Linked DNA regions of Oreochromis niloticus. The protein of the gene in region 1 purifies or fractionates together with the protein of each later gene. This does not show direct contact. Links are inferred from orthologs where the notes say so. Each region holds a gene or a part of one and is shown in the gene's direction. Other genes may lie near its edges.

What was found.
Region 2: the proteins of nop58 (region 1) and NHP2-like protein 1 fractionate together in Homo sapiens (co-fractionation; 3 studies listed by BioGRID and IntAct, with this or other methods). This does not show direct contact. The link is inferred for Oreochromis niloticus from reciprocal best matches to the Homo sapiens genes NOP58 and SNU13.

The regions. Positions count from the first base shown.
Region 1 is NC_031986.2:729,529-736,670, forward strand, and holds the start of nop58 (nucleolar protein 58), read left to right. Parts: upstream 1-4,137; 5' UTR 4,138-4,300; coding exon 4,301-4,345; intron 4,346-4,795; coding exon 4,796-4,872; intron 4,873-4,982; coding exon 4,983-5,035; intron 5,036-5,242; coding exon 5,243-5,367; intron 5,368-5,447; coding exon 5,448-5,584; intron 5,585-5,772; coding exon 5,773-5,837; intron 5,838-6,103; coding exon 6,104-6,238; intron 6,239-6,548; coding exon 6,549-6,694; intron 6,695-6,854; coding exon 6,855-6,981; intron 6,982-7,028; exon of another isoform or gene 7,029-7,112; intron 7,113-7,142. Other genes in the region: FMR1-interacting protein NUFIP1, read right to left, coding at 293-814, 940-1,175, 1,352-1,471, 1,641-1,810, 1,963-2,055, 2,185-2,261, 2,341-2,403, 2,501-2,602 and 2 more. UniProt on the Homo sapiens protein: Required for the biogenesis of box C/D snoRNAs such as U3, U8 and U14 snoRNAs. Part of the small subunit (SSU) processome, first precursor of the small eukaryotic ribosomal subunit.
Region 2 is NC_031973.2:20,520,582-20,526,639, forward strand, and holds NHP2-like protein 1, read left to right. Parts: upstream 1-4,078; 5' UTR 4,079-4,306; coding exon 4,307-4,309; intron 4,310-4,488; coding exon 4,489-4,609; intron 4,610-5,084; coding exon 5,085-5,347; 3' UTR 5,348-5,555; downstream 5,556-6,058. Other genes in the region: uqcrc2b (cytochrome b-c1 complex subunit 2, mitochondrial), read right to left, coding at 1-49, 187-282, 372-429, 521-618, 883-1,007, 1,255-1,311, 1,412-1,476, 1,786-1,935 and 2 more.

The DNA.
Region 1 (7,142 bases):
TAACACACTAACACTAACACTACTAGTCAACACTAACACACTTTCCAGCCGTGGTGCGAATTTACTGCAAGTCAAACACTAGGTATATTTTCTGTCGTGGTAGTGTGAATGTACTTTACCGCACATTTCAGTTCACTCCCTTTATTGATAGTCAAACACTGAAAAGATAAAGATTCAGAATTCATCACTACACATCACGTGATTTATTTTACAAGACAGTCTGTCTTTACATAATAAACTCATATCAAAAAAATAAAAAATAAAAAAAATAAGACCGACTATTTTGGGTCTTTCACACTTGAACACTGGGGCTCTCCCATATTTCATCATCATACATATTTGAGATACATGTGATCCCATCCATCGAGGACAAATCAGGATGGTTTACATCGCTGGCAGTTGTCTCCTCAGTATTTGGGATGAAATCACCTGTACAATCACCAACACTTCCTAAAGACTCCACAGTAGGTTCATTAGGTCCTCGTGTAGACCCTTGGTGATTCAGTATACAAGGAGCTTGCTTAACTGCAGAAACTTCACCAGTAACTAAAACCTCCGTACTGCCAACATCCAGGACTGCTGAATGTCCCTCACTACTAATCGAGGCGGCAAACAGGGACGCAGCTTGGATTTTCTGTGAAGACTCTTCCCATCTTCCTTCATGCTCTCCATTTGTAACAGATGTTGTGCCCTTGTTTCCAGTTTTCTCCTGGTTGTGACATCTGCTCTCCAGCCCAAAGAAGTGGTTTCTGACAATGTAGCGTACACACTGCAGGAGGACATTCCTCTCGTGTCGGATATCTGGGGCCAGTAACTAAACAAAGAGACAAACAAGAGTTGGACTAAACATCTAAATAGTATAGCTTTAAACAGCGTGTCCTTTTTTACTAAATCAAAATCATATAAATACACATGCATAGTGTCAAATGACTTCCATACCATTTCAAGCAAAGTGGGGCGATGTAACTGTGGTAGTCTTCCTCTTCCCGCTCTTCCTCCTTTGCTGTTGGGCATGTGAAGCCTGGAATCTGTCTGAACCATTTTCTGTCTCTCTGCATTCTGTAAAAAAGCCTCTCTACCCCTGGCAGGTGCCCTCTTCTGAGGGTTGGGTGGTATTAAGTTTAGAAGGTCCTGGTTCTCTTGCACCAGCTCCTTACCTGTCTGAATGGGTGTGGCTAAAACGCAAAGGCAGGTGTTAGTCAGTCTCTCTCTCTCTCTCTCTCTCTCTCTCTCTCTCTCTCTCTCGTAAATTAACAACAAAATAAAAACAATTCAACAAGACAGAATCATTAGGATTTTTCTTGCATGGTGAAGATTTTGGACTTTTATCCAGCAAACACTATGTGCTCACCTGGTTCCTCATCACTTTCACTCATGGATCCGTAGTTTGCTACTAGGGAGCCCAGAGCTGAGCTCATCTTCTTAGGGGCCACAACCAAGCCACTGGTCCTGGACTCCTCTCTGTCAGAATCTTTGAGCCAATGAAAAACAGAGCACAATATATCACTATCACTATATAGGGGTGTCTGTGTATTTCAATCAAAGAATAACCAGAGGATAACCAGTGAAAGCTTTTTGATCTTGTCCTCTATGTAGGTGATTGTGCACAGCCTTGATTGAACTTTAATCAATTAACTCACCATGGTCACTAGTGGCTAGTGCTCCGAGTGGATCCCCGTCCCTGCATGGGTGGGTGAGTGGTTTAGGCTTCTCTGTAACACTGCAGTCCGATGAGTGTGGCCGTCTCAGATGTCGCCCTTGGAATCCTCTGTTTTTCCAACCACGACCTCTGCCTCTTCCTCTCATTCGTCTGAAAATAAATACATCATTGCTTATGCAAGTTAACTTTTTGGTAGGACAGACTTCATTTCAAATTTTAAAAAAAAAATGTATATCAAAATAGAAAATAAAAGACATGCACACCAAAATCCATAATTTATACATTCAAATGTAAACATTTACCCAAACTGAGCTGTTTCCAGGACAGCTCCCGTTTCCTCCCGCACCTCCAGGACTTTTTTCTTCTTCTCAATATTCACAAGTGTTGGATAGTTTCTAGTAAACCAGTAAAGACAAATTACTGACTGGACATGGGCAGTATGCACAGGTGGATCAACTAATGGCAAAATTGCATCAAAAGTTCATGACTGCCACAGTTTCTAAAATCTCTTTGCAAACACTAACTTGCGCCTTTCCTCTCTCCATTTAGTAATCTCCTCCGGTGTGTCCAGTTTGATTCGTTTAGTTCCTGGCACATGGTTCTGTCAACACAGAGCACTCACATTAGAAAAAGGAAACTACTACAAGCTTAATCTCTTTACATCATCTTCTTCCACTTACATTTTTCCAGTGTATGCTGACAAGTTTTTCATGGGCCATGAAGCTGCAGTCAGCCACAGAACACTAAAAGTGGATTCAATTGGAGCTCTCAGTAAAAAGTAAAGAATATCAATGTGAACAACACTAATATATATCTAGTAAGTAGCCTAGAGTGAAATACCTTGACATGCTGAGAGACATGCTCATTGTACTTTTCCTGGTTTTTGAAGCCCCGGTCGCAGGTGTCACAAAAATGGGAATACTCTGGTTCTTTCCTGTTTTTCTGCAAGGGGTGAAAAGCTCAAAGTTCCCAACAACGTTCCATTCACTTTCAATATAAATACAAAGTTCTCAGACTCGTCACCTTTTTTCCATGATGGCTGGGAGCTCGGTAGCTTTGATGTCCACCTCGATGCCATTCATGACTAAAGTTTTGACCTGAAAACACGCAAAAAATTCAAGCACACCTTTCTTTAAAAAAAAAAAAGACACATGGACATGTCCTTTATGGCGACTAAAGGCGCACTGCATGTATCTTAAACTACACAGCTGCTATCAAAGTTATTGTGGGGATGTGATTTTGTTTTTAGTTTATCTTTCCGGGTTTTCCACGGATGTATTCGTTGTGTCACTAGTTGGCTTTTATGAAACTAATTCAAGTGTTTTAACACGAAACAACCCACTGACGTCACTTGCTGCATTCACACAAGATGGCGCTCCACATGCTATAAAGCTTTAAATACTTATTCCTTAACTGCAGCATAATAGTGTTAAATCTATGACTTTTTTGTTAGAGCAGAACCCCATGGTGTAAGTCAGTCTTTACATTATGTGGTCCTTCATGTCCACTTTAGGGCGACAGTAACATGAAGGAACCCATCTTCAACAGAGAAACGACTGTACATTCCACTCACCGTATGTATGTGTAGGTCCGTGGTTTCCACGGTTTGATGAGAACCCATAACTTGCCGCTGACCCGTGGTGCCTACCAACACTACTGTCGCAGCCCCAGCTGTGTTCGATAGGCGTTTCGCTCCAGCTCCACATGGTGGGATGGAAGCTACTCGAGTGCGACTGCTGCTGCTGGAACGACTGGAAGGAATTCGAAGGAGGAAAGCCAAAGTCGGGCGGAGGGTAGTTTGCCGACTCGTTCATACCGCCAGGCCAAAATCTTTCTTCACGCTGACGATGAAGATAGTTCTAAGAAAACTTCTCCCCAACGCGTTGCCCTCATAAGCGCATGTATTTACCTTGAGCAAACTATGGATTCGTCACTTCCGGAGAGAAGGAAGACCATAAACCAACACAGACGAAAACGAATAAATATACGTCTATACATACTTACGTTAAGTATTTTAATATGTATAAAAAGTTTTGTGGTAAAAAAAAAAAATATATATATATGTACTTGAGACTTAACTGCAATTTTGATTTTACCAGTAGTTGGCTAGAACTTCTCGCGAGGTTTAAATTAACAAATTCTCTTGGGTTGCCATTTTTGGTAAAAAGCCTCCTGGTAAATATTAGAAATGCACTGCATCGTCTAACTACCAACACAAGTCTGTAAGCGTCATAAGCCAAGTGGCCGCTCGCTCGGTTTTATTAACCCGAATGCTATGTGCCGTTTGCGTAATTAAACATATTTCAAAGTGTATTTTTTTCCACAATAGAAGCAGAAACATATTATAAGGTAAAGAAAACGTAAAAATACATTGGACAATACGGTGCATTAGATACACCGAGATCCACCCATCCGTAGAAACCTTTTCTTCCGCTTATTTATAAATAAACCCTAAATTGTCTTTTTAATGTTAAGCTCGGGGGATAGCGACCGACGTGAGCGAACCTGGCAACCCAGTAGTTTCCTGGTGCCCTGTCCACGCCGCGTGTGTTTCAGAGTGAGGGCAGCAGCGTGGTGATCGAGGTGGAAACGCGAAGGCTCCAGAGGTGTGCACAATAACTGCACTAAGGCGCTGCCAAAATGCTCGTGTTGTTTGAAACCGCAGCTGGATATGCAATATTCAAAGTAAGTATTCGACTATTGTTCGCGATCTTTTTAAAATGGGGGACTTTAACACGGGCTCTTTGCGTTAGCCCGGATTAGCCATCCAGCTAGTTCATTGAGTGTCGGTAGAAGGTGGCATAAACGTGTTATTTACGGTATGAAAAAAGCAATCTCTTCGTTGTACTTGCGGATATGGATTAAACTTTTATTTAAAGTTGTTTTGTTTGCGCACGAGCTTGCCTAAGTCATAAGCGAACATCAAGCTTGTACTGTGAAGGGCCTGCAACCACGTGTGCACACTGAGGTGGTGCTGACTCTACTTTTCAACTAAGTCCCATGCATTTTAGAATTGTAGATTGTTCAAATGCGTTTATCATCCATTAATTTTTTAAAGTTACATTTTTAACGATGTAAGCCAGCCCACTGCTTGACAGATTTCTTTTAACTAATGTCTGTGTATTGTGTTTTAAGGTCCTCAATGAATCCAAACTGCAGCAGGTCGACTGCCTGTATAAGGAGTTTGAAACTCCCGAAAAAGCCAATAAAATGTAAGTGCTGATGTTACATTTTACCACCTGACGACACATATAACCATGGACTTATTACGATAAATCGTAGATGGAATGTAACTTCCACGTTTTTCCTTTTGTCCTACCAGCGTTAAGCTGAAGCATTTTGAGAAGTTCCAGGACACAACAGAGGCCTTAGCAGGTAATGATAAATTTGAGCCCTAATGTTTACCTGAGATTTGTCTGTGATGCAAAGCTGTGTCTGATTAAACATGAGGTATTGCACAGTCCTCGTCACTACCACTGAGACCAATTCCTCCTCACACATATGAGAATTGACACTTTTTGTGTTTTGTGTAAGCGCTTAGCACAGCTAAGCTTTATTTTATTCTCTATTTCCACTTTTCAGCTGCGACTGCCCTTGTTGAGGGAAAACTTGGCAAGAGTCTGAAGAAGGTCCTGAAGAAAGTTGTTGCCAAGGAAGCTCATGAGCAGCTGGCTATTAGTGATGCAAAACTTGGTGGCGTTATCAAAGTAAGTCACTGATATTTCTGTCAGCCTGAAAGACAGCATTGTTATCGAACGTTGTGTTTCTAATGACTTCTGGTCTTCAGGAAAAACTGGACCTGAGCTGTGTCCACAGCCCTGCTGTGGCTGAACTGATGAGATGCATCAGGGGTCAGATGGAGAGCCTCATCACTGGACTTCCTCCCAGGGAGATGAGTGCTATGTCTTTAGGGTTGGCTCACAGGTTAGTGGTGCACAGATTATGTTATATGAATGCAGCTGCTGCCTATGATTACATTTGCTGTCTGAAATATTTGTGTAGATTTTTCTCAGCATTCGTCACTACCACTGAGGCAGCAACCCTCTGGCTTATTGAAAATCCCTTCATTAATCTAGAAATTTGAATTAACTCATGTTCTCATCTGGTTGCAGTTTATCCCGCTACAAGCTGAAGTTCAGTCCTGACAAGGTGGACACAATGATCGTGCAGGCTATTTGTGAGTGTTGTTTTACACAGTTATGTCTGTTGTTGTGCCTGTAACATGTCAGACAAGAAAACTCTTAGAACAATCAGCAGTCTAAATTATTTTCAGAATGTCCAAAAACCTTCAGTCTGTTATCATTGCAAACAAAGAAAACATCTAAATTTTTCTGTTTAGGATTATAAAAATTAATAAATTATAAATTATTGATATTTTTGCTCTAAAAATGATCATTTAAGCAGTTAACATCAGCTGTACTGTGTTTTCGTCCTTGCCTCTAGCTCTTCTGGATGACCTGGACAAAGAACTTAATAATTACATAATGCGTTGCAGAGAGTGGTATGGCTGGCATTTCCCTGAGCTCGGAAAAGTGATCACAGACAACTTAGCCTACTGCAAGAGTGTCCGCAAAATAGGTAAGGACCATCCTGCATTTGCACAACACAGTCAGAGAAGCAGAGGTCTAGATATCCTAAATAGTGTGAGTAAAGCCAGCAAAAACACAGCAATCCTACAATTTCCACATTCAAATTCATTAGCACTCTTTAATTTTAATCAAAGCCTCTTTCAGTCTTTAAGAATTTATGGTTTCCTGTCAGGCTGAGTAAACCAGAGTGCTCTGAGCTTGTTTAAAGTCAGCGTTTTGTTACTCTAAGACTCACCTACATTGGTTTAACTTCCATGTGGTGACATTCCAGAGTAACTGCCATATGTTTGTGTCTACAGGTGATCGCACAAATGTCGCTGGCTCTGATCTATCAGATATCCTCCCCGAGGAGATCGAGGTCGAGGTTAAATTGGCTGCTGAAATCTCCATGGGAACAGAAGTGTCAGAGGAGGACATTGGCAACATCAGGCACCTATGTGATCAGGTGTGTGTCCTCACTGTTTGCTACAGTGATTGTGATGGCGATCACTGTTGTCTGTTGCAAAAACAGGGTTTTCTATGCGTCTTTGCCTTTCGTGACTGGTACCCTGCATTCGTGAATTTGTTTTTGAATGTTCTCTTTATATATTTTTTTTCTCCCATAGGTGGTAGAGATTTCAGAATACCGGGCTCAGCTCTACGACTACCTGAAGAACAGAATGATGGCAATCGCTCCCAACCTCACTGTAATGGTGGGGGAGCTGGTTGGCGCCCGTCTCATCTCACATGCAGGTGAGTTTGGGTGGGGGAGGGCAAAAGTCAGGTAATTTGTGAAAACTGGCCTAGCAGTGATGATGATGACACTAAGTCACTTTCCTGAACATGACTGATGGTTTTAAGTCACTACCTCATCTGAGCTGGCAGTGAAAGCACTAGTAGTCAGGTCCTTGAAG
Region 2 (6,058 bases), on another chromosome or scaffold:
ACCACGGCTGAATGGACCAGACTGCTGGTGCTGGGCAGGCGAATCTCACCTGGAAAGAGGCACGAGGTCATGAGACAGGGAAGTCTGCAAGGTCGATCAATTTCTCAGGTTGGAATCATTCATTCAAAATTTGCTTAAATCCTTTATTTTTTCTTTTCCTTCCCCCTCTCAGCCAGCTCGCCTCACCTCCACGATACTGTGCCTTAGCCCCCGTGGTGCCGGCTCCACTGCGGATGTTGAGGAACTGCTCTCCCACTTGCTTCAGCACAGTGTGGTCAACGCCTAGTAGAAAGGTAAGCATTGTTATCGTTTATCAGAAATCTGGCTACTTCTTTCTTTATATGGAAAATACTTTAAACCCTAACACTTACCAAGTCCAACAAGGGCCATTCTTGCACTGGTGAAATTGTTCTGGACAAACTGGTGCAGCTGGAGAAAAATGCAAACATTGCAATAATTCATAATTGTTTTAGTTTGTATGTTTTGTACTCATAATATACAAACAGAAATATATACTCACATGCTCAGAGTGGATGTTGTTGATCATGTGGTCTGGGCAGTACAAGGAGTTACACAGGGCGTTCTTGTAGGCAGCTTCATGCAGACCTTCAACCACACCTAAAAAAGATGGATGGGTGACTGTTAGCTGCAACGCACTCATGGTGAAGAAAAAACAGAGAGAACATTACTGTCCCTATATGACAGTTTGGTATCTAGGCTCTACAGGCTAATTATTGATTAATCGAACAACCCAGAAGCTTTTTAAAATATTAATCAGGCTCAAAGGTGGGAATATGAATTAAGTAGTTCTATAATAAAACAACAGATCCCTTAAAAATCTTTCAAAAAAACTGAGTGTTGTAAGAGAAACAAAGGGCCCACCTATCTGGGCGCTCTGTGCAGCTTGTGCCTTGTCCACCTTTACTTTTGGGGTGAGGTCTGACACCTCCCACGGACGGAATTCGGGGGCTGTTGTCACATTGATCAAATACTCCATCACTGTGTCACTAGAGACCAATAATAGAGGAAGGGGGGGAAAAGAAAGTTATCACTCCTGCAACATCACATCTCAGAGCATTCATATGTTCCAGTGAATGTAGTCATTTCACCAAAATATGGAAAAGTGTGTAAACAGAAAGAGACAAAGTTCTTTAAGTATCTCCTAGTACTTTAAACATTTTCATTACGTTATTATTATTATTGCTCAATCATCAACACACTCATCACACACAAAGGTGACATGCAGAGACTCACACGTCATCTCTTAAGCAGTCGACGGTGTAGGTCATATTCTCTCTGGATGAAGTCACGCTGCACAGGAATACACAGATATGCAAATTAGACACCTAAAAATAATTAAATGACTGTTTACAAGAAAAACCTTTTATTTGTTTTTGGCTAAGTTACTGACCTTAGACTGCCTCCCACTGCCTCAATACCACGGCATATCTTGAAAGCTGAAGCTCCCTTGGTTGTCTGAAAAGGCAGAAAAGTTAAGTAACATGTCGACTGAAATGCGGCAATGTTACACACCGTTACAAAAGTAGTGATCTTAAGCTCCATTTATTAACAACAGTTGTGCAGGCTTTTTAATATGTAAACACTGTTATATTTCTAATCAAAATAAGATTTTTGCCTAAAACTGAATAAAGATTTGGTTTGTATTCTGGTGCATCTGCAGCTTTACTCATTTCTGTCTTTCAACAACACCAAAGGACCAAGGTTGATGAGGACAATGCTTACTTCAAGTTAAATGTTATTATTATTTTTTTTTAAGTTACATACCAGACCGGAGGCCAGCCGGAGGAGGTGGGTGACGCCCTGGTTTTCAGGGGTTTCATAGCGACAGCCAGCCTTGATGAAGACTCCAATTTTGGAGGCTGGAGAATAGTTCTCCAGTGAAGCGATCACCAGCCCGCTGGGCAGCCTGGTCACCTGGAGACATATAGAGATGTCCTTTAGCGTTGTTAGTACCCTGAGTTATAGGCAGTGATTCAGTTAACTGGTTTCCTTGGCTTTTATTTATACAGCTCAGACAATGTGGGCATTTAGTTAGATTACTTAATATTTTATATTCAGCAAGGTGAAAAAAAACAGATAAAGCTTAAAACATAACCAATATATACTACAATTCTCATCACTGCCCGACATACGTGGACATCCTGGTAGGAATGGCCAACTCTGGGAGAGAGGCTGAGGCCAGCCAGGGGCTGAGCAAGGGACTGGTCTTTTCTGGCAGCCGCATAGAAGCGTTTCTGCAGAGAAGAAAAAGAAGTCAATAACCACTGACCTGAACATCCTGTGGATGAAACCCAGTGACCTCCACCTTACGGGCAGCCTGGGCTGCATAAAACCTTGTCTGGGGAAAAGAAAAACAAAGAACACAGGAAGGCAGGACATTACAACTAATGTTTTGCTGGCCTGTTGGCTGATATGAGCACGAACTTTAAAATAATGGGATCAATGGCATTAGTAGGGCAGCCTGTACTAAAAGAACTGAATGTTGTGACTAAATATGAAGCTAGAATTATACAGGTGAAAAAATAATCTTATGACAAGGCCCACTTAAGTCTCTGTTCTGCATTTTGTTTAAGCATATCACCAGGTTTAAATCTGCAGGTCAATTTTTCCAAATTATCTTTGAAAGTATCAAGGATTTGTAAGATTGTAATGTACTCTGAAGTGTAATAACAACCTCTATATGGGTCTTGGTGTCTTCCAACAGAATGATGCCAAACAACATTACTACCCTTTAACGACAAATGTGAAAAAGTAAGAACATCTTTTTAAAACTAGCTACAATCTACCATTTCAGGCTGCCAGGGTTCTCACTCAGTAAACACACATAAGTATTGATGTTTACTGCTAAATCCAAACTGCAATAATTGCACAATATTGCAGATAAGAAAGGGGAAGATATAATTAGATAGTAAAATGGAAATGTAAGTTAAGCAACTCGACGGCTAGGTCCTTCATAAACACGAACCTAGCTAGCTCTCATCGCTCAGACGTCAACTAGTTTGATTTCTCTAAGCCTTACTTGAATTAACGGAATAGACAGTATTAAGCTGGGTGTACAACGACTTAAAATCCGCGGTGTTCGTGATGTAACTAGCAGGTTATTGCTGGTTATGCTCGGAGTCATTCATGACAAGACCTAGCTGACTGCTTCCTCGTCTGCTCCTCATCACAGCCTGCCCGGACACGACCCGGAATTTAGACACCGTCTAACAAACACAGCCCACAACTCGGTGTACAAATGTTCCGACACACAGACACGTAGGACACATTGCCCGAGTCCTCACCGATAGCTGACTGATTCCCCGAATCCCCTTCATCGCCCCTCTTGCCTTGGGTCAGGACGATGAAGCAATATGGCTGGCTTCAAAGTGCCCTACCCAGAATCCTCAGCGCTTTCTTCGCTTGTAAACGGTGCGTCTGCCTAGCCAGTGACCGCGCGCCCTCTGCTGCCCTGGAGATGAGAGAAAATAATAAAATAAAATAAAATAAAATAAAATAAAATAAAATAAAATAAAATAAAATAAAATAAAATATTTTTTCATTGGACCAGACAGAGCCAGCTGGATGGTTTGCACCGAAGTTATGAAATGCACTGATATGAATATTATTATAAATACAAAGAGGTGTATGTAATATCGGTATGTAAATGACAAGGAATGTGTTTAGAGATGGTTTGCACATGCGCACAGGAGGGATAGGGGATGCTGAAATGATGTAAAAGGATGTTGAATATGGAGCTGCCAGGCAGGAGGATAAAATGAAAACCACAGAGGATGTTCATGGATGTAGTGAAGAAGCACACGCGGAGGGTTGCTGTGAAAGAAAAGAATGCTGCCAGGTTAAACTATTTTGGCACAGGGCAGATGTGCTGAACTCTGAAGGGAGCAGGTGAAGGGAAAATAAATAATTTCCGTGTATTTATTTTAAAACGTATTTGTTTTTCAATAAAAAAAAATGTCACCCCTTTCCAGGTCGTCTTTTATTTGGTAAAAAAAATGAAAGTGACTTGTTTCGTTGTATTTTCACATTTATTAACAATTTTTTTCTCCCAAAGCATTTCCTGTGATTTCGCCAGCGTTGCCAGTGCGCATGCGCCTCACACCACACGTGTGGCAAACGTTTGGAGTCGTTGCATGCGACGGAGCTTAGAGAGTTGTACCGCTATAAAATACATCACAGGTTATCGCATCTTGCATCGTGTCGTCAATCTTTCAGAAGCCAGTCGAATTAAAATAGTCCTCCGTGAAGCATTTCGCCGAGAGGGCCGGAATAGCACAAAAACACCATGGTGAGTGTCTTCTCAAACGAACAAGCTAACAGAGTAGCTAGCTAGCTACCATCGAGCATAGTAAATTAAGTGTAGAATTCAGTAGAAGTGACCAGAAACAGTGCTGGTGACTTTTTTTTTTTCGTTAACTGGTTTCTCTTGGCTAACATGGAGTTACTTTGTTTCTGTGTGGTGAACAGACTGAAGCACAAGTGAACCCAAAGGCCTACCCGCTGGCCGACGCCACGCTGACCAAAACTATCCTGGATCTGGTGCAGCAAGCCTCAAACTACAAGCAACTGAGGAAGGGAGCCAACGAAGGTGGGTAAACACAACGTGCCGTGCGACACAGTCGGTGCAAATGAATATTTAATTTGTTAATGAACGGATTTGAGTGGCCAGGTGACACCAGCATGTTTGAAACGTGGTTTCTCTTCACTTAAAACAACTAGCTTTAGTCACAAGCCTCTGATTTCTGCATGAATGGGATGTCTGCGAGAAGGAAAATAACTTTTAGTATTGTTTATACAGATAATTGTTAACTTACACCATAGCTGTGTCTTCCTGTGGAGGCTAATGATTAGTCAATGTCGAGTGTATTTATTATATGAATTACTAAGTGCTTGTGAAAAATGTGTTAAACAGACACTTGTATTTTTGTTTTGGGCCACATCAAGAATAACGGTGCTGCAGTAATGAAGGGCACTTTTTTGTGTAACCTGTAATATGCTGAGCATTGTTTTTGTGTTTCCAAGAACAAACTTGCTGTATTTAAGGTGTTCTCTTTCTTCCCCAGCCACTAAAACCCTGAACAGAGGCATCGCTGAGTTTATCGTGATGGCTGCCGATGCGGAACCACTGGAGATCATCCTCCACCTGCCGCTGCTGTGCGAGGACAAGAATGTCCCCTACGTGTTTGTCCGCTCCAAGCAGGCCTTGGGCCGGGCCTGTGGGGTGTCGCGCCCCGTTATCGCTACCTCAGTCACTATAAAAGAGGGGTCTCAGCTCAAGCCACAGATCCAGTCTGTTCAAATGGCCATTGAGAGACTGCTTGTGTGATTTTTCTTTCACTGACAAAAACTCCTTGAGGGGAAAAAACCGTTTTAAATAGTCCCGTCCTTTGTTTGATTAAACATGAGGGGGAAAAATCATGTTTAATTGTTTTTGTTTTGTTTCTTGCTTTTTGGGGACTGATGTTTCTCATCAGGAGTTTGTAGTAGCCCTGCTCACTTATTAATAAAATAATTCTTTTTGTTATTTCTTAAAACCTGGTCTTGTTTTCATTTTTTCTTTTTTCTTTTTTTTCAAGATGAGTTCAAACAAAGTGATTCCCAAATGGTTAGTAACAGAAAACTGGGCATATCTTTGCATGGTCTGATGTGTGTCAGGCTTAAAAAAAATAGCAAATGAGCACTATCTGAAAATCATGTCCTTGAGAGACCTGATTGATGCATCTATTCTTCACTGAATCCAGGTTACAGAAGGTTACAGAAGCACTGGGCTGGAAATCAGTGGCAAACCGGTCATATTTAGTGATGACTTTGAAATGTTTGGTTCAAACTGTCTTCAGTATGGCAGAAGTCAAGCAGCCTTGAGAACTATTCTCGAAGACTACTTAAAGAAATGACAGGCAAACTATCCTTGAAAGAATAAATGTGGTCATACCAAACACTGACCTAACAAACTGTTTTTGCTGTATATGCTGTAATTCTGTATATGTTTGCATGTGTTTTTGTTTTTTCTGGCTCAAAACCTTTGTACAGTACTGTA